Linked DNA regions of Saccharomyces cerevisiae S288C. Each later gene encodes a partner of the first gene's protein in a complex. Each region holds a gene or a part of one and is shown in the gene's direction. Other genes may lie near its edges. The genes, in order: PRP6, SMD3, SMD1 and SMD2.

What was found.
Region 2: PRP6 (region 1) and SMD3 share a complex: the UniProt entries of both Saccharomyces cerevisiae proteins name them as parts of the U4/U6-U5 tri-snRNP complex.
Region 3: PRP6 (region 1) and SMD1 share a complex: the UniProt entries of both Saccharomyces cerevisiae proteins name them as parts of the U4/U6-U5 tri-snRNP complex.
Region 4: PRP6 (region 1) and SMD2 share a complex: the UniProt entries of both Saccharomyces cerevisiae proteins name them as parts of the U4/U6-U5 tri-snRNP complex.

Annotation. Positions count from the first base shown.
Region 1 is NC_001134.8:343,191-350,021, reverse strand, and holds PRP6 (U4/U6-U5 snRNP complex subunit PRP6), read left to right. Parts: upstream 1-2,720; coding exon 2,721-5,420; downstream 5,421-6,831. Other genes in the region: MRX18 (17-beta-hydroxysteroid dehydrogenase-like protein), read right to left, coding at 638-2,143; YRO2 (Yro2p), read right to left, coding at 5,887-6,831. UniProt on the Saccharomyces cerevisiae protein: Participates in pre-mRNA splicing. Part of the U4/U5/U6 tri-snRNP complex, one of the building blocks of the spliceosome.
Region 2 is NC_001144.5:431,683-436,004, reverse strand, and holds SMD3 (mRNA splicing protein SMD3), read left to right. Parts: upstream 1-1,541; coding exon 1,542-1,847; downstream 1,848-4,322. Other genes in the region: tethering complex subunit PEP3, read right to left, coding at 1-1,364; YLR146W-A (uncharacterized protein), read right to left, coding at 1,947-2,135; SPE4 (spermine synthase), read left to right, coding at 2,280-3,182; RMP1 (Rmp1p), read right to left, coding at 3,232-3,837; ACF2 (endo-1,3(4)-beta-glucanase), read left to right, coding at 3,989-4,322. UniProt on the Saccharomyces cerevisiae protein: Plays a role in pre-mRNA splicing as a core component of the spliceosomal U1, U2, U4 and U5 small nuclear ribonucleoproteins (snRNPs), the building blocks of the spliceosome. Also binds telomerase RNA and is required for its accumulation.
Region 3 is NC_001139.9:632,540-637,436, forward strand, and holds SMD1 (mRNA splicing protein SMD1), read left to right. Parts: upstream 1-3,172; coding exon 3,173-3,613; downstream 3,614-4,897. Other genes in the region: ENV11 (Env11p), read right to left, coding at 1-1,524; UPF3 (Upf3p), read left to right, coding at 1,765-2,928; U4/U6-U5 snRNP complex subunit PRP38, read right to left, coding at 3,608-4,336; mitochondrial 54S ribosomal protein mL59 MRPL25, read right to left, coding at 4,565-4,897. UniProt on the Saccharomyces cerevisiae protein: lays a role in pre-mRNA splicing as a core component of the spliceosomal U1, U2, U4 and U5 small nuclear ribonucleoproteins (snRNPs), the building blocks of the spliceosome. Also binds telomerase RNA and is required for its accumulation.
Region 4 is NC_001144.5:692,851-697,275, forward strand, and holds SMD2 (mRNA splicing protein SMD2), read left to right. Parts: upstream 1-1,527; coding exon 1,528-1,532; intron 1,533-1,622; coding exon 1,623-1,950; downstream 1,951-4,425. Other genes in the region: MCM DNA helicase complex subunit MCM5, read left to right, coding at 1-1,032; DBP9 (ATP-dependent DNA/RNA helicase), read right to left, coding at 2,196-3,980; cleavage polyadenylation factor subunit YSH1, read right to left, coding at 4,306-4,425. UniProt on the Saccharomyces cerevisiae protein: Plays a role in pre-mRNA splicing as a core component of the spliceosomal U1, U2, U4 and U5 small nuclear ribonucleoproteins (snRNPs), the building blocks of the spliceosome.

The DNA of each region.
Region 1 (6,831 bases):
AAAGTTTATGGCTATGAAACAACAATATGTGTGGCTGCATGTTTAGCCAATGACGCCTTTTTTATAACCCTGCCAAATCCCAACTTCAAGGCAGCTTAATACCTCCAATACATCTTTTGGGAGGTTGATTCAAACATTCACAGCAGAGTAGCTTATACGCTTATCAACTCATCTTTCCTCTGATTAAAAAGAGACTCTGGCTTGCTTTGTAATATTATTTATTTTGGCTCAAAGTTTTTACTTAATTTCCTCCATTATTGCTCTATTCGGAAATTTTTAATAACTCTCAAATGCTTAAAGATCGCCCATGTTACTTGAGTTTTTAATTTAAATAGTTCACCTTACTTGAATGTTCTATTGGGTAAAATAGAATGATTTGAAGATGGCAAATACTAAAAATATCATAGCGCTTCATCTTGATTACCATTATTCCGGTGCTTTTATGATATTGCGTATCAACTTCATTTAAAGAAAAACCTCATTTCAGCTGAAAGTAAAAGTATTGAGTACTCTACTGGCAGTAGCTGGATAATTGAAAACTTACGAAGTGCCGCCACAACAGCTTTTTTTTTATTTTCGACAGTAAACCAAAAGAATAGAAACGCCTATAGTTAGTATATATGTGTTTGTATATTTCTTAATACTTATTAAACTCATCTAACCCACGTTGGTAGCCTTGATCCCATTCCCACATAAATTCGCTATCTTTTTTGGCAGAAACGTATTCAGCTCTTCTTTGCGACTTCCATGAATGCCATCTACCAATTAATGAATTGTCAAATTTCCTAAAGGCAATTATATCATCAACAGCTGTCTTTATGCCATCCTCAAACCTCCAGTGTTCAAAATTTTTACCTTTACCGTTCCAATAAGCCTCGTGTTCATGGATTATTGAATCTATTTTCTTCTTGTCGACTTGTAAGTCATCACCGTGAGGACGTTTTGGTAAATTTCCTTTCTGCATCATGGGAGCTAAGCCCCATTCACCTCCATCACCGTATTCAAACTGCAAAGTCCAAAAAAACCAACCCCAACTAGCTACATGAGAAAATACATCTGCTTGGGTTTGTACGTATTTTTGAACAATAGCGTCTCTGTCGCCAGAAGTTTTATTCCAAGTTTGTCCATCAAGAACACCAGAAAATTCACCAACAGTATAATCGGCATCTTCATGAGGAAAATTCACAGTATTTGGCAAATCCTTGATAATGGAATTGGCATCCTTCGACTTATCAGAATCAGAAAAACAGCGGTAGACATGAGAATCAATGACCACTATTTCACTAAAATGTTTTTCTTTAACCCAGTCTGCCCATTGTTGGGGCCACCAACCATCGGATATTATGACAGGTAAACCTGGTTGAAGTTTTTCAACGGTATTAATGGCTTCTGAATAATAGAATTTTTGGCCCTTTGGGTTATTATCAAAACATGCCTCATTAACCACTTGAATACCAATGATGTTTTCGTTGCCCAGAGTCATTGTGTTAATAATTGCAGGTAAAATATCTTTGTAGACTTTGGTCATGTACTTTTCCTTGTGGAAAAACGCAGCTTCACCACTCTTCGAGCCACTGTGTGAGTCGCAATTAGCGCCTCCTGGTAGACCATGCAAATCTATCAATACACCAATGCTCATTTTCTTGGCATTATTGATTAATTCGCCAAGTTTTTCCCAAGGTTTGGCTAACTCATAAACTTTTCTCAATGGGGCAAATGGAAGCGAATCTAAATGCTTCCCATCTTCGACATGCCAATATCCAATTGGAATACGTAACGCTGTAATATGGGCATCTTTAGATAGCCATTCCCAGTCAATTCGATCAATGTACTTTTTATAGTGATCGCTTAACATTTTCGCAACGTCTTCAGAAGAATGCTTCTTCAATTGTTGGGAAATAGCATCAAATTCGCTATCATATTCTTTCCCATCGATTGTACAAATGGTTTCTTTAGAAAAAATCCATGGTTCGAGCACAAATAACGCACCCAAGTTTACACCATAATTGTAACGGTACTTGTAGATAGTTGATCTATCAAGGTCCTTTGCAGGGGGTAGTTTCGGTAGTGTTGTAGATAAATTTTGACCTCCCTTTTCAGAAACTTTGAAATGCTCAAATTTGTTTCTAAGTGAGCCAATCATTCTGTGCAGTTCAAAAGTTTTAATAAATTTTATAGATGGATAGAGAGTCTTTTTTAAAGCAACTCTTCCCAACAGAGTTCGAATTGAAGAAAAGAAAGTTATGTCTTAGTTCATCCATCCCCCCTAATTCCCTTCTTTTAAGCATTTTTTAAGCCATGATGGCAGAGAAAATGTATATTAAAAAAATATTACTGAAGGATGCGAGGTTCGAACTCGCGCGGACAACCGTCCAACAGATCTTAAGTCTGCCGCCTTAGACCACTCGGCCAACCCTCCGTATAAATGAATAGTTATTTTCAATAACCACACTTATATTAATTGTATTAATTGCAGCACTCTTTCTTTAGTAGCTCCTCCGGAGACCTTTATGAAATGATGGCGTTTCTTCTTTTAATAAATAATGTAACGAAAGTATTTTTAAAAGTCTTCTTTACCGTTGATAGAACCTTGGGCTAATTTAACCAGTACATTTATAGTGTGTCAGATTGTTCTATTAAGCAAAAAAAAACGAAAAATTTCAGAAAATATACGGGTGAGTTGACATAAAGAGTTTAACAGCAAGAAAACGTCACATTTTATGGAGAGGCCATCTTTTTTGGATCAAGAACCACCTGCAGGTTACGTACCAGGTATTGGTCGTGGAGCCACTGGATTTTCAACAAAAGAAAAGCAAGTGGTTAGTAATGATGACAAAGGAAGAAGAATACCGAAAAGGTACCGTGAAAATTTGAACAACCATCTTCAAAGCCAACCGAAAGATGATGAAGATGATGAAGCTGCAAATGTATTCAAAACGCTTGAATTGAAATTAGCACAAAAGAAAAAGAAAAGAGCTAATGAAAAGGATGATGACAATTCAGTTGATTCTTCAAACGTGAAACGGCAATTTGCCGATTTGAAAGAATCATTAGCTGCTGTAACGGAGAGTGAGTGGATGGATATTCCGGATGCCACAGATTTTACAAGAAGAAACAAGAGAAATAGAATTCAAGAGCAATTAAACAGAAAAACTTATGCTGCACCGGATTCGCTAATACCTGGGAATGTTGATTTAAATAAATTAACGGAAGAACGAGAAAAATTATTGCAATCTCAAATAGATGAGAATCTTGCACAATTAACGAAGAATGCAAGTAACCCTATACAGGTTAATAAACCGAACGCTGCTACCGATGCCCTAAGTTACTTAAAGGACTTAGAAAACGATAGAGTAAATTCTCTCTCAGACGCAACGTTAGAAGATTTACAGAAAATGCGCACAATTTTAAAGTCATACAGAAAGGCCGATCCAACAAATCCACAGGGTTGGATAGCTTCTGCCAGATTAGAAGAAAAGGCAAGAAAATTTTCAGTAGCAAAAAAAATAATAGAAAATGGTTGCCAAGAGTGCCCTCGAAGCTCCGATATTTGGCTAGAAAACATTAGACTACACGAATCTGATGTTCACTACTGTAAAACATTAGTGGCAACGGCAATAAATTTTAATCCAACGTCTCCGCTTCTTTGGTTCAAAGCTATTGATTTGGAAAGCACAACGGTTAACAAATATAGAGTAGTGAGAAAAGCACTGCAAGAGATTCCTCGAGATGAGGGCCTATGGAAGCTAGCTGTCAGTTTTGAAGCTGACAAAGCGCAAGTTATAAAAATGTTAGAGAAAGCCACACAATTTATTCCACAAAGTATGGATCTCTTGACTGCATATACTAATTTGCAAAGCTATCATAATGCTAAAATGACTTTGAATTCCTTCAGAAAAATCCTTCCGCAAGAACCGGAAATTTGGATTATCTCTACACTCTTGGAAGAACGAAATAACCCAGATATACCTGTAGATAAACTAGTTAGTTTGCTCAAGGAGGGTTTATTGGAACTCTCTAAAAATGGGTACAAAGCGACCTTGTCAGCATGGTTGAAACGTGCAGAGGCTCTAAATGATGCGCCCAATTCAAATTTAACCTGTCAAGCCATCGTTTACGCTATATTAGAATGGTTAAGAGAAAGTGGCGAGTATGAGTCTGAGTTGAATAATGTTGATCAGATATTAGAAAAAATGCCACACTCAAAGGTACAAATTGCTGTCTTAAAAAAGCTTATTCAGTGGGATCCTTGTGATACAGTTCTTTGGTCTAGACTGAAAATGGCCACTGAAAGCTACCATAAAATTGAAGAGTTATTAGCATTTTTCCAGGAGCTGCTATTTCAGACCAAGAATAGTGATGATATACGAGCAAATATGAGGGAGAAAAGCCCTGGCTTGTTAATGATGTATGTAAGCGAATATTGGAAGGCCCAAAAAGGGGATACTAGGCAAACACTAGTTTTGATTGACCAGATTATAGATTTCGCCCCGCATAATTTGGATTTACGCTTTTTCAAGATAAAGTTATTAGGTCGTTCACTACAACTTGATGAATTACGAGATTTTTTTCAGCAAACTTTCTCCTCTTTAGAGGATTTTAAGATCAGTGGCACGGAAAGATTATATTATAAATACGTAAACTTTCTGCGGTACCAAGATCTGAATGAAGAGGCTATAAAATTCTTGAATGAGAGATGTTTGAAATCATTTCCCATCTGCCACAAATTTTTTTTACAGCTGGGTCAAATTTATCATTCCATGGGCAATATTGAAATGAGTAGAGAAACCTATTTGTCTGGTACAAGGTTAGTGCCCAATTGCCCTTTATTATGGGTTTCCCTATCAAAGATTGACGAGATTGATCTAAAAAATCCAGTAAGGGCAAGATCAATTTTAGATAGAGGATTGTTAAAAAATCCTGACGATGTATTATTTTACATTGCTAAAATCCAAATGGAAATAAGACTTGGTAACTTAGATCAGGCGGAGTTACTCGTCACACAGGCATTGCAAAAGTTTCCAAGCAATGCTTTACTTTGGGTGGAGCAAATCAAGCTGTTTAAGCATGGAAACAAAAGTTCGTTAAAAAAAACAATTTTTCAAGATGCTTTAAGAAGGACACAAAACGATCATCGCGTTCTTTTGGAGATTGGAGTATCCTTTTATGCAGAAGCGCAATATGAAACATCATTAAAATGGTTAGAAAGAGCTCTGAAAAAGTGCTCGCGTTACGGAGATACATGGGTTTGGCTATTTAGGACATATGCAAGGTTAGGCAAGGATACTGTTGATCTCTACAATATGTTCGATCAATGTGAGCCTACTTACGGACCCGAATGGATAGCCGCCTCCAAGAACGTAAAAATGCAATACTGCACACCTAGAGAGATTTTATTGCGCTTGATGAATGACAAATAAAGTAATTCTATCTTGCGTTGTTTTCTACTTAGCCTGCGCGTATATTTATATGTATGTATGTATGTATACACATAATTGATAGAAGCGATGCTCAAAAAAAAAGTTAAAGAAAAGAATTAGATTTAATTAAGATTATAAGTAGTGCTTCATAGGTATTAAGACAACAAATGGTCTTTCTTACAAACGTAAAAATTTGAAGCAAAATGATGTATGTGTTTAAGGAATTTATTCGTATTTTTTTAATGAAAAAAAAATTTAAAAACAGTGCATATTTATTTGTGGCCTTTGGTCGCTACAATCCAATCCCATCTTCTTTCATGTATTAACACTTCATCGTTGCGCGTTATAATGCAGAAGATAAAAAAAGGATCGAAGTGTTTCTTTTCCAGCGAAGTTTCGGTCTCAAATAATAATACGTCAGGAAAAAGAAGGAAAAAAACATTGCTACATCAGCAGATCAAAGCATTTACTCAGAGTCGGTGGCTACATCCTCCTCCTCTTCTTGGGCTTTCTTGGCCTTCTTGGCCTTCTTAGCCTTCTTAGCCTTCTTCTTGTCCTTCTTGTGCTTCTTCTTTAGCTTTAACTTCTCCTTGATACTAGAGTCAGAATCAGATGACTTGAAAGAAGCTGGAGATGGCATCTTCTTTTCAGCAACTGGACCAACATGTTCAGCGGGTTCTTCGTCGAAGATTAAACCTAATCTTTCAATCCCCAAATAGTTAGCCAATGGCATGAAAAGAACTGGCAAGATAGATAGGATCAACAAATCAATAATACCATAGAAAATGGTAGCAGAATCTGGTTGCAAAACGTTACCACCATCTGTGATACCAAAACAGGTTGGGTAAGCAATCAGCCACAAAAACATGATGACACTCATGAAAGTAATGAAAACGTTAGAGACATCCTTACCTCTGGCCTTGACCAGGTTGAATGTAGTTGTCATCAAACTAATACAAACAACAATGGCAGCACCAATACCAATGGTGTAGTAACCCCATTTGTAAGTAGAGTGGACACAGGCAGCAATCAACCAGCAGACAGTAAATATTTCAGTCATACCAACATTGAAAGCAATTTGCCATAATGGAGTACCACCAAGTAGAGACATTTGAATAATTGGCCATGGGAAAGCCAAAAACCAGCCAACGTATCTAGCGTAAAAAATTTGTCTGTAACCTGGGTGCTCCTTTTGGGTAGAAGTTTGTACATGGTTGTACTTTGCTCTGACTGGGATCCAACCCAAGTTAGAAGCCATGGTGAAATAAGCAATTGACATGAACAAATTTGGAGCAATGGCCGTATAATATACGAATCTGTCCTTAACTGGTTTTCTAAACATTAGTGGGACTAAAATCACACCGAATAGTAGGTTAACACAAAAAACGGTGAAAAGCCAGTCTGAACCACG
Region 2 (4,322 bases), on another chromosome or scaffold:
ATCTTTAATTCAATATCATTCAATTGTTTCATAAAATTCCAAATAATCCAACTCGACAAGACGACTTGAGTTGATTTCCAGGGAACGTTATCCAACTGTTTTATCAATATTACGTTCAAATCGTTGTAATCTTTTATTTGGAGAAAATTCAATGCGATTTCCCCAAAGTGTGACAAGTCCTTCATGCTTCCCAAAGTTTGAGCCGCGGAATGAAAATCTTTAGCAGTGTGGAAAAGGTACATTGCCTTTGAAAGTTTTACAGATTCTATTTCCCTCACCGTCAAGCCTTTCAACGATAGGGCCTTGTCAAATTTGTTATCCCGAACTAATAAATTCCATACCGAATTAGGCTCATTTTCGATAATAATTTCAAAGACGTTGATGTTTGAGAAACACCAAAACGTTTCTTTCACCGAATCTCTTACTAGGCCTAAAAATTTCTCATTACTATCAGTGTTGGAGCCAGTCAACTGGTGTCTCGGTATAGTTTCATGAAACACTACGTCGTTATTTAATTGACTCACCATTGTTACCGTATTTTTTCTCAAAAGCAGGATGTGGAAAGCAGTCAAAACTATATCCTTGATGAGGTGATCTTTATCATTCTGGTAGTCAGGCAGTTCGAAATTGAGTAGAACCTTCGACGAAGATAGGAATTTTCCAAAATTATTAGAAGCAGGATCTTTTTCCATTTGCTTTTCTTTTAAATCACCAAAGACAATTCCATTGGATGTGACCCAAGCAAAGAGTCCATTGTACGAATCGAATTTCTTTATCGCATGATGTTTTAACCTTTCAAATTGCTCAGATTCATCTGGTAATACTAAAGGAAATTTCATATTTGTCACGTCTCTCCAGTATAAAATGTTGTCTTTTATAGTTAATAGCAGAGAGCCCTCCCAATACGCAATGCCATCAATTCCACCAGAGAGTTTCTTGTTTTCATACCATAGCTTCGTGGTTATATCCTTTCCTGTCAATTCAACTCGGTACAACTTGGGCGTCTTCTTGATTCCCATCAGAAAGGTGGTTTCGTTGATCCAATGTAGCGAGCTGAGGTCGAGATTTTTTATTTTGTTCAATTGAGTGAATTCGCCATCCTTTAGCAACATATACCGGCCAAAGTTGGTTCGAATAAGAATGACACTACCCATTGGTGAAACATGAACATTCATTATAGTTTCTAGTTCCTTGCTTAATGGACAGTCAAAGTGATTGACGATGGCCGGATCTTGTAAATTTATTCTGTAAATTGTCCGTTGTGTCGTTACTATAAGTTGATCATTGGAGACTTTCAAATGCGTAAGTTCGGTATTCCCTGTGAGGAATTGTAACTGAACTTCCTCTATACGTGTTTTTATCATTATATCCCTATATTTCTCTTTTTACTTCTTGGTACCTTATAGTTTTTACTTTTCTAGGGATGGCAGCTTCTTATTTCTTTCGTTCTATAGATTTGATATTTTTGAAATCGTTAAAAAATTCTTATAAGAGCAATACGAAGAGAATCAGAAAGCGCTGCGAGGCACGTATCAGAAACAATGACTATGAATGGAATACCAGTGAAATTATTAAATGAGGCACAGGGACATATCGTTTCTCTGGAGCTAACAACGGGAGCGACTTATCGTGGTAAACTTGTTGAAAGCGAAGATAGCATGAACGTACAGCTAAGAGATGTAATAGCTACAGAGCCCCAGGGGGCTGTAACACACATGGATCAAATATTCGTACGTGGGTCACAGATCAAATTTATCGTTGTTCCAGATCTCTTAAAGAATGCACCATTATTCAAAAAAAACTCATCAAGACCTATGCCACCAATAAGAGGACCTAAGAGAAGGTGATAATAGGAAACGTGACGGCAGAAACGCATTCATCATTGTAGGGGGAATATATATATATATTAATATTGTTTATGTAAAATATATTTGAATATAAATTTATCAGTTCGCACTGTTCGTGGTTGAATCCGCTGTTGTAGATGATTCCTTTATTTGTTCAAACTCGTTAAGATCGCAGCGAATTTGAGAATTCGTATCCCGCAACTGAGCAAATAACTGTTGTATTTCATTTTGCAACATCCGGGCATGCTCTACTGACGCTGTAGTCTTTTTTTTCTCTTCAGTGTCCATGGCTACTTCGAGCTTCTCTTTATTGCTAGATCCTTTTTAAGGTTATCTCAAAATTTTTCAAGTTGCTGCTGATTTTAGTTAAAAATAAAATATCAAAACGCCGATGAGACAGGCAGGATAAAGTGACAGATTCAGTTATACATTATGGTTAATAATTCACAGCATCCTTACATCAAAGATGGATGGTTTAGAGAGATTAATGATAAAAGTTTTCCGGGCCAGGCCTTTACTATGACCGTGGACTCAATACTTTATGAAGCCCGCAGTGAATTTCAGGACATCTTAATCTTCCGTAACAAGGTATACGGTACTGTTTTGGTCCTCGATGGTATTGTCCAATGTACGGAATTTGATGAGTTTGCCTATCAAGAGATGATCACCCACATTGCCATGTTTGCGCATTCTAATCCCAAGCGTGTACTTATCATTGGCGGTGGGGACGGAGGTGTCTTAAGGGAAGTAGCCAAGCACAGCTGTGTAGAAGATATCACTATGGTAGAAATTGACTCATCAGTGATCGAATTATCCCGTAAGTTCTTGCCCACATTGAGTAATGGTGCTTTCGATGACGAAAGGTTGGACTTGAAACTTTGCGATGGCTTCAAGTTCTTACAAGATATAGGTGCTTCCGACGTCCATAAGAAATTTGACGTCATTATTACAGATAGTTCTGATCCTGAAGGTCCAGCTGAAGCGTTTTTTCAAGAGAGGTATTTCGAACTATTGAAAGATGCTTTAAATCCTAATGGCGTTGTTATTATGCAAAGCTCTGAAAATTTTTGGTTAAATTTAAAATACTTACATGATTTGAAAAATACAGCCAAAAAGGTATTTCCTAATACAGAATATTGCTATACCATGGTTCCAACCTATACATCTGGCCAATTAGGTTTAATTGTTTGCAGTAATAACGCCAATATACCGTTGAACATTCCGCAAAGAAAGATATCTGAGCAAGAACAAGGGAAGCTGAAGTACTATAATCCTCAAATACATTCTAGTGCGTTTGTTTTGCCTACTTGGGCAGACAAGGTCATTAATGAATGATTTATTAGCATTGATATTATTATTTTAAAAAGTCTATTTACTTGTATATTTATCCGAATATGCCATCAATGGCTGATTTGTTCTTCTTTTTCCTTTTCTTTTTCTTCTTACAGTTCTCTGTCAGAGGCTTTGGTATAGACGTTATCACTAGTTCGTTTTCTTGAACGTTGTTGCCAATATCTTCATCTATAATTTCTCCAAGTTCTTCGACATCGTTCACAACCGATTTTGCTTTTGTTCTCGGTAAGTTCTTTATTAAGCATCCACATCTTATAAACTCAGTTTCATTAATCTCCCATAATCTCATATACAGTGCCCTCACATTTGCCAGCAATGTTACTAGTGTACAACCCAACGTTACAAATTGTCCCAGCGCAATTACGCCATTGAACTGCCAGTACCATCTCTTTAACTGTCTAAAAAGTGCTCTCTGTAATAGCCTGTGCAACTTGACCCATTCAACATCTTTAAGGCGTTTGGCTTGTAATCTTCTCGAGCTAAAAAGCGTTATTATTTGTCCACAATTTCTTTTCATCTCATTGAACGATCCATACCAGCTAGCCGCTCTATGTTGATTTTTGTTCCTATGGTTCAAGAGCAATATTAACCGATATTCTTGCTCCAGAGATCGTATCACATTATCCATCTCATCCATTTTGTTTCTGCTCTTTTTTTTTTTGTGGATATATCATTCTAGTACTCATTTCTTTGAAGTTTTTTTCTTGGAACCATAAATAAAATTCATGAATTTCTGAAAAGTGCTAGTATCATAAAAACAAAAATAAATAAATACGAGAAGTAAAAAGATGTGTTACAGTAGGCAAGCCATTCCTCCACCTGTTCCTAATAGACCTGGCGGTACTACCAATAGAGGACCTCCTCCCTTACCACCTCGCGCAAATGTTCAGCCACCAGTTTGTTCTTCTGAGAACTCCAGTAAACCTCGAGAAAATAGGGTGGCAGGTGAATCACTGCGCACACCAAGCAGTTCTAACCCTTTAGCTGACAGCCAGGTGAATAGTGACAATATTTTTCAATCACCTGTCCTTTCTAACTTAAAAGCTCCTCCTTCCGTCTTCAACAAAGTTCAACACCCGGTACCAAAGCCGAATATTGATGATCAATCTGTTGATCCATTGG
Region 3 (4,897 bases), on another chromosome or scaffold:
AAATTTTTCTAAGATACTCTTCAAAGCTGAAAATCTATCGCAGTTACAGGAAAGGATTGAAGTAAGTTCATTGCAGTTAGGTTGTGTATAATTTTGGCAGTATAATAGGAAATCCGATTTTAGGGAGTCGTTTAAGTTAACTTCTTCTATCAAACAGCATATTTTGCCGAGAATAGTAGATGATAAATCAATATGGGAAAAATCTATTAATGAGTCTAACAAAGAGCCTCCTGAATGATTTTCTTTGGCCACAGAAAAGGAAGACAGCATTGATTCAGTAGGAACATTAAACAACGGCTGTAAAAAACAATGAAGTAATTCAGATACTATGCAAGTATGGTACTTTATCTCCCTCACACTCCCGCTATGGAAAGTAAAATTATGACTGTTTCTATTCTCTAGTACCATTGTATAATGGCTTTGAGGCAAAGTTATAGAAATCACCGATTTTTGTAAGCCAGGGTATTTCGAATACAAATTGTTGAGCTGTTCCTGCCAGACACTAATATCTATATCCGTTGTTTTACGTACAAAAATAGATAATGGTAAACCCTTCGAAACTTTGTTGGTATTATCGAACAGTTGCAAAGAAAATAATGATCTTTTTCCAGCCAGTTCTGTAAAATTTACAGAAATAAGATGGGATAAGTCCAAGTTAGACAATTGTGCCCGAATTTCCCTAGAATATTTCAAGTAAAGAGGTTGATTTGATTCCTTACTATCGGATAAATGGATAGTAAAGGGTAATTGTGTATCATTCCTTGATATAGACCTTCTGATCAACTCATCAATTGATTTTGACAACCCTATAATTGACTCCTCTATTATATTGGTAGTTAAAGGAGGGATCCTATGAAATTTTGATAAAAGAGATTTAAAGGACACATTCTCAAAGAAGTTCAGCGGTAAATTTTCTGAGGCTATGACTATGGCTACTAATTGGGAAATAGAAAGGTAATTACTGCTCTGTAATTTTCCTATGTCAAAGCATTTGAAACTTTGGTCGGAATTGAAGGTTAACGAATCATAGCCGTGTCTACGTGTAATTTCTGTGCTGGAAGTATTGTTTTTGAGATTGGAGTCTCCTACTGTGAAATTCATGGAATAGAAGTTTTTATTGGCACTTATATTATGCTTTGTTTTCAAGTGAGATCTAAAGGTTTTTGTCAAACTTGCATCGCTTCTTGTTAGTATCTCTCCACAATGTTTACATTTAACTTTCGTTAATTTCTTTTCAATTGCTAGAAAATGGGACCAGAACTTTGCTATATTCTTCTTGAGCATTTGAACCGGAATCCATATATTTAACCCATCATTTATGATTTCGTCTTCCGGATGAATTCTACTTGATAGGATTTTATTGCCGTCTTTTTCTATAAGTTCTATATCCTCAGTATCGTCTTCTTCCTCGTCTTCCTCCTCATGACTAGTAGAGTGAGAAGATGAATGATCAGAATTATTGATGATTTCGTTATCTTCTAAAGTCACCAAATCCCCATGTAAATCATCCAATGCAGTGTTCATATTAATGATTGAGTAGATTGGTACATATGCTATTTCGGAAGACTTTTGTTATTCTATGGTTTATCATCCCTTTATTTATTTTGTGTATTGTTTGCTGATCAAAAGTTGAAAATTTTTCGCCTAAAAAGTAAGATACAAAAGAAAATATTGTCGATGATTATTGCATGAATATATCAGCAAAGAGGAAAGGAAAACCTACTGAGGGACTTACATTTCTGCTGAAATATATAGTAATCTATCATGAGCAATGTGGCTGGGGAATTGAAGAATAGTGAGGGGAAAAAGAAAGGCAGGGGAAATAGGTATCATAACAAGAACAGAGGAAAAAGTAAGAATGAGACGGTAGATCCTAAAAAGAATGAGAATAAGGTTAATAATGCTACTAATGCTACCCACAACAATAGCAAAGGCAGAAGGAATAACAAGAAAAGGAACAGAGAGTATTATAACTATAAAAGAAAGGCTAGATTGGGTAAATCAACCGAGAATGAAGGATTTAAGCTTGTTATTAGATTGCTACCTCCAAATTTGACTGCAGATGAATTTTTTGCCATCTTACGAGATAATAATAACGATGATGGTGATAAGCAAGATATCCAGGGTAAACTCAAGTACAGTGACTGGTGTTTTTTTGAAGGTCATTATTCTAGTAAAGTATTCAAAAACTCGACATATTCTCGGTGCAATTTCTTGTTCGACAACTTATCAGACTTGGAAAAATGCGCAAATTTCATTAAAACTTGTAAATTCATTGATAATAAGGATAATATTACAATTCCAGATATGAAACTGTCGCCCTACGTAAAGAAATTCACTCAAACATCAAAAAAGGATGCCGCGCTAGTAGGAACAATTGAAGAAGACGAAATTTTTAAAACATTTATGAATTCAATGAAACAGCTGAATGAAAATGACGAGTACTCATTCCAAGATTTTAGCGTATTGAAATCTTTAGAAAAAGAATTCTCAAAAAGCATAGAGTTAGAAAATAAAATAGCAGAAAGAACAGAAAGGGTGTTAACAGAGCTGGTTGGAACTGGTGATAAGGTCAAGAATAAGAACAAAAAGAAGAAAAATAAAAACGCCAAAAAGAAATTCAAAGAAGAGGAAGCATCCGCTAAGATACCAAAGAAAAAACGGAACAGAGGCAAGAAGAAGCGTGAAAATCGTGAAAAAAGCACCATTTCTAAGACCAAGAACAGTAATGTGGTTATTATTGAGGAAGCGGGTAAAGAGGTTTTGAAACAAAGGAAGAAGAAAATGCTTTTGCAAGAGAAGTTAAAAATATCAAACTCCTCTCAGCCTCAGTCATCATCCGCTCAAACCCAGCCGTCGTTCCAACCTAAAGAAAACCTTTTCGTACCACGGGTAAAAATTTTGCATCGTGATGATACCAAGAAGTAGTAAAAGCTCATGGCTTCTTATATATTATATATGGAATACATTTATAATAAAATAATAAGAATTATATATTTTATGATTATATTATTACATAAAGTATTCCCCATTATAAATTCTGAGTTTCGTATTTAATGATTTTTCAATGAATATTTAAAATAATAAAATATATGAAATGTTCATATACAATGAAATTGTCATGAAGAAAGATGACTCCAAGTATCGTTTATAAATCGTCGAGAAAAAGATTATGAAGTTGGTTAACTTTTTAAAAAAGCTGCGCAATGAGCAGGTTACCATAGAACTAAAAAACGGTACCACCGTTTGGGGTACACTGCAGTCGGTATCACCACAAATGAATGCTATCTTAACTGACGTGAAGTTGACCCTACCACAACCCCGACTAAATAAATTGAACAGTAATGGTATTGCGATGGCTAGTCTGTACTTGACTGGAGGACAGCAACCTACTGCAAGTGACAACATAGCAAGTTTGCAATACATAAACATTAGAGGCAATACCATAAGACAGATAATCTTACCTGATTCCTTGAACCTGGATTCACTTTTGGTTGACCAAAAGCAACTTAATTCCCTAAGAAGATCGGGTCAAATTGCAAATGACCCCAGCAAAAAGAGAAGGCGCGATTTTGGTGCACCAGCGAATAAAAGGCCAAGAAGAGGTCTATGATTCGCTGCTGGTGTCGTTGTCATCTTCACTGTCACCATTACTTTCGCTTTCGCTAGAACTACTCTCTTCATCAGAGTTGTATATTTTATTCCATTGACATTTCCCTAATGGAATACCCCAGATATGGTCCTGTGTGGCCAACCAATCGACTAATTCATCAATGTGTATTATACAAAGTTCTTCGTTATAGGAGTGAGCAAAGCAGTCTACTTGTAGTGGGAAACTTTTTAGTTTGAAATAATGCTGTGAATATTTGTATAATTGTACTTTAAATAACTTTATCAAATCATTTTCATCATCATCGTTTTTGTTATTGCCATTCAAATAATAATACTGTAACCGCGCATAAACCAGAAGCAAAGCAATAATATATTTCGAGTCAAAACCGTTCTCATTTTTTACATTCAATAAGAAGTTCAACTGCTGGAAATTCGGTCTGATTTCGATTAACTTCATTAAGATGCATTTAAACTCAATGCCACCGAGAACCATCATGTGTAAATGACCATTTTGACCTTTTATGGTACCAAATGCGCCAATCATAACTTTCAAAAGCTCTACCATTGTATTGCCTCTCAAAGATTCGTTGCTTAGATTTACTTTATAGTACATTGAATTATGAATTTTATCTCTTGTCAACCGAGGAATAACAAGTGACACTGACTGGTTATTCAGTTGTTTTGGAGAGATGTTAGACTCCACTTGAAATTCATTGACAGCCATTGTAGTCCTTGTTCTTTACCCACGTTTTGTTTTTGTTCTTGCGTTTTTACTGCCACTGAAAATATAGCGTTGTAATGGCTTTAGATTTTACTTTTTTTTATCATAATTCTTGTTCAGAACGTTCGTTATTGATATCACAAAATTATTTACATGATTAGACATTAAAAACATAAAACAGTACACATAGGGTTTACTATTCTAAACTATAGTTATCTTCTCTCTTATTCTTCAGAACCAGCCTATACTTTGGTTTTTTTTCATTTTTTCTACTCTCTTGGCATACTTCGAACCCTTCTTGGAAGCAATCAACTCATCTACCTTCTTTAAAGCTTCTTCACGTTTTTTTAGCTTTTCGTTTAATTTCAATTCATGCTTATGACCCTTGGGCAAGAGAACACCTTTCATGAGGGTCTTTTTATTGTATTTCTCCTCGAAGAAAAGTTTCTTAGTGTTTTCGATCGGTGGTAAAAACTCTTCTACTCCATAACGCAGTGCCAACTTATATACGTCACTCATTCTTCTAAGTGAATATTTCGGATCATGAAATCGTTGTGTGACCGG
Region 4 (4,425 bases), on another chromosome or scaffold:
TCACCTATTGCGGTATATACATCTGGTAAGGGATCTTCTGCAGCTGGGTTAACTGCCAGTGTACAAAGAGATCCGATGACAAGAGAATTTTATTTGGAAGGTGGTGCTATGGTGCTTGCCGATGGTGGTGTTGTATGCATCGATGAATTCGATAAAATGAGAGATGAAGATAGAGTGGCCATTCATGAAGCTATGGAGCAGCAAACAATCTCCATCGCAAAAGCTGGTATCACTACAGTGCTAAATTCTAGAACTAGTGTTTTAGCGGCTGCTAATCCGATATACGGCCGGTATGATGATTTGAAGTCTCCTGGTGACAACATTGATTTCCAAACTACTATTTTATCCCGTTTTGATATGATTTTTATTGTTAAGGATGACCATAATGAAGAACGTGATATTTCAATAGCTAACCACGTTATTAATATTCATACAGGAAATGCTAATGCTATGCAAAACCAACAAGAGGAAAATGGCAGTGAAATTAGTATTGAAAAGATGAAACGTTACATTACGTATTGTAGATTGAAATGTGCACCAAGACTTTCACCGCAGGCCGCTGAAAAACTGTCATCGAACTTCGTCACCATTAGGAAGCAATTATTAATCAACGAATTAGAGTCAACGGAAAGGTCGTCTATTCCAATTACCATTCGTCAATTAGAAGCTATTATTAGAATAACAGAATCATTAGCCAAGTTAGAATTAAGTCCTATTGCACAGGAGAGACATGTTGACGAAGCTATTAGATTGTTTCAAGCTTCCACAATGGACGCAGCGTCTCAGGATCCAATTGGCGGCTTAAATCAAGCAAGCGGAACATCTTTGTCAGAAATCCGTCGTTTTGAACAAGAACTAAAAAGAAGATTACCTATAGGCTGGTCTACTTCTTATCAAACTTTGAGGAGAGAATTTGTAGATACACATAGATTTTCTCAATTAGCACTGGATAAGGCCTTATATGCCCTAGAGAAGCATGAAACAATTCAATTGAGACACCAGGGACAGAATATTTACAGAAGTGGTGTATGACAACAATAAAGTCTTAGCTTGACGCCTTTTCTACTTGTTTGCATGTAATGAATCTAAAAAATTCGCTACAAATACTTCATTATTATATTTCTATATAAATTCTGTAAACGAAATTATACTTTTTGAGGTTTCATCTGCGTCTCATATTCTTTTTGTATAATAAACGCACAGACTTGATATGACCGTCAATCAAAATAATTCAAAGCTTCTTAAAAAAGAAATTGAAATCAAAGACATACGAAAGAAATTAGAAAATAGAGGTCGATTTACCACTGAACAATCCTACAGTACATGAGCTCTTGAAGTGACTTTATGGGGACCAATTTGTCCTATCGTGATATTACTACGGGTAATACTACCAAATGAAAATTATCTTACTCAAAAGGTATGACAAGAACATCATCACTAGAACATCATCATTCTTAATAGCAAGCGCCATCACGTTTGCCCCGCCTTTGACAGTTGATTAGAGGAGTATTATAAAACCGTTTTATCATGTCGTATGTTTGATCTTAACCATTTTTACATCCTATAATTTGGAGTGAATTTTTATATACTAACTTAAAAGTAATTGATTTGTATCTTTCCAGTTCACAAATAATTGATCGTCCAAAACATGAACTCTCTAGAGCAGAATTAGAGGAACTAGAAGAATTTGAATTCAAACATGGTCCAATGTCCCTGATAAATGATGCTATGGTGACAAGAACACCTGTGATAATCTCATTAAGAAACAATCATAAAATAATAGCGAGAGTGAAAGCTTTCGACAGGCATTGTAATATGGTTTTAGAAAATGTGAAGGAGCTTTGGACAGAGAAGAAGGGCAAAAATGTAATTAATCGGGAAAGATTCATAAGTAAACTATTCTTAAGAGGTGATTCAGTTATCGTTGTGTTAAAAACCCCTGTTGAGTAAAAAGTAAGACAAGCAGCCCTCAATCAACAAGGAAAGCAAATCATCGTAAGAAACTTTACAGTCAGCGGAAAGCCTTTTTTTATTTTGGAAGTAAGACCAATTATTATTGGCTGATTTTCTAGCTCTTGCGAAAGTATTATATTCAAGAAAACGAATAAAGCATCTATATTATCACATTTAACTAAAGAGCATTTTTAATAAGTAGATTTTTACATAAAATATAGAATAAATATCAATATTATTAATCATTTGAAGTTCTTCAACGGGTCTACTTTACCATTCTTTGGCTTACTGACTCTTCCCTTTTTATGTGAATGGCGCTTCTTAGCATTGTGGAAAGGAACAAACTTGACTTTGGTTCCATTTCCTCTGGCTGATTCAGGAAGCAAGTAATCTGGAACACGCTTTAAATGCTGTTGCACTCTTGCTGGATGTAATTCTTTATCGTGTCTTAAACTTTGTAGCTCTTTTGGATTCTCCTCAAAATGTCTTTTCAACTTCTCACTTGCCAATAGTTCTTGTTTCAACTCTTTGACCCTAGCTTCTCTAATGGCAACTTGAGTAACAGCACGGAAACCGTCTTCCATTCTGTAACGGAACGCCTCGACCTGCTTTTGATCGAATTTGTAAGGCTGTAATTCTAATCCAAGTTTGCTCTGTTGTTTGATGATTCGTGAAAGAATCCTTTCATCCTTCTTTGCTGTCTGTAGCATTGATGGCTTATGCTTACCAAATTCTTTCAGTGGGACTACGAATGAAATTGCAGTACCGGTCTTTCCGCCACGAGCAGTTCTACCTACTCTATGCACGTAGGACTTAGCCGTCGTAGGTAAATCGAAATTGAGGACACATGCAACATTTTTGAAATCAACACCACGAGAAACACCATATTCCTTATCTTTCTTCACTTGGACCTTCTTTTTCTTGCTTGGTTTCTTATCGTTCTCAGGCTCGCCTTCCAAGCTTTTTTCTTCTTGATTTTCTGTATTGTGCCCTTCTTCTATTTCGTCATCTTCCTCTTTTATGTACTCGGTGTCATCTGTGGCAATCAATAGTTGGTAAACGTTTTTATTGAATTGGTCAACAATATGTTGCCTCGAATTAACGGGTAGCTCGCTGTTTAAAATACAGGACTTGATACCAAATTGTTCCATAACTAGCTTGAGCCTATATCCTCTGTCAATATTATTTACAAAAATTAATGTTTTACCCTTGATTAAGTTAAGTTTAAAAATGACATAGCATAGTAAGAATTTGTCAAATTCACTGACTTTAACGTAATATTGAAGTAATTTGTTTTGGTTCTTATTTATTTCCTCGTCATTGAATTTAAGAATAGCTGGAGAACGACAAAATTTTTGTTTCAAAGCCTGTATATCGTCATTTAGGGTTGCACTCATCAAAAATGTTTGTAAATTTTTTTTCAATGGTAAGTACTCTCCAATTTTGTTTAAATCATCTTGATAACCAAATGTTAACACTAAATCCACCTCATCAACTACTAAAAATTTTAGTTCGTTCAATGAGATAGAATTAATCTTTGTTTGCAACAAATCCAATAATTTACCAGGTGTACCAACTATGATTTCTGGTTGATCCATAAGTAGAGTGCTCAAAACTGAGTCAGACATATCGGATGATATGTTCAGAGTTCTTATATCTTTTGAACAATATAAGACTAGTTTTTCTAAAACATTATATACTTGTTGAGCCAGTTCTCTTGTTGGAACAAGTATAATACCTAGTGTACCATTTTCCTCTCCGTTATCAATTGTTTTTTTATATTCTAGGATAGTTTCAATTACAGGAATGAGGTATGCCAAAGTTTTTCCGGAACCTGTAGCGGCCTTTGCTATAATATCTCTCTTCTGTTGTAAAGCCAAAGGAATAGCATGTGATTGAATTAATGTTGGGTACTGAAATCCTATATTCTTAATAGCTTGTAATAAACGAGAGTCGAGATGAAATGCTTCGAACGTTGTAGAATCGTCAATATAAGCGCCTTCCACAGACTTTTTCTCATAGCTCATTTTTTTGATCTTTCGTTGCAGTTTTGGCTTAGTCTATTTCTTTTGTGAGATAAATTGTAGATTGACTATAACTATCAGCCAAAACAAAAGGCTCTTACTCAATGAAAGAAATTAGAAGAATCGAAATGAAATGAGATGAGATGAGATGAGATGAGATGGTCTAGAAGAGTTATTCTTTATGTTCGTGAAAAAAAATTTTTAAAATTTCATCTCTAGGTTTCATTACGTAAAGAGTGATTAAGGTAAACAATAAAAGGCAGTTCTAACCAGATTTTGGTTTGGTATTACTTCTATAAAGTAGTCTACTTAGTATGCGTAACTGTTTTTAACATAGCGGTGTGACCAAATTACCACCAATATTTAAGAGGCTTTCCACCCTACCTTTCAAAGGATTTGAATTACATTCTAAAATTTTCATATTGTTGAAGTCAATCTTAGCAGTGCT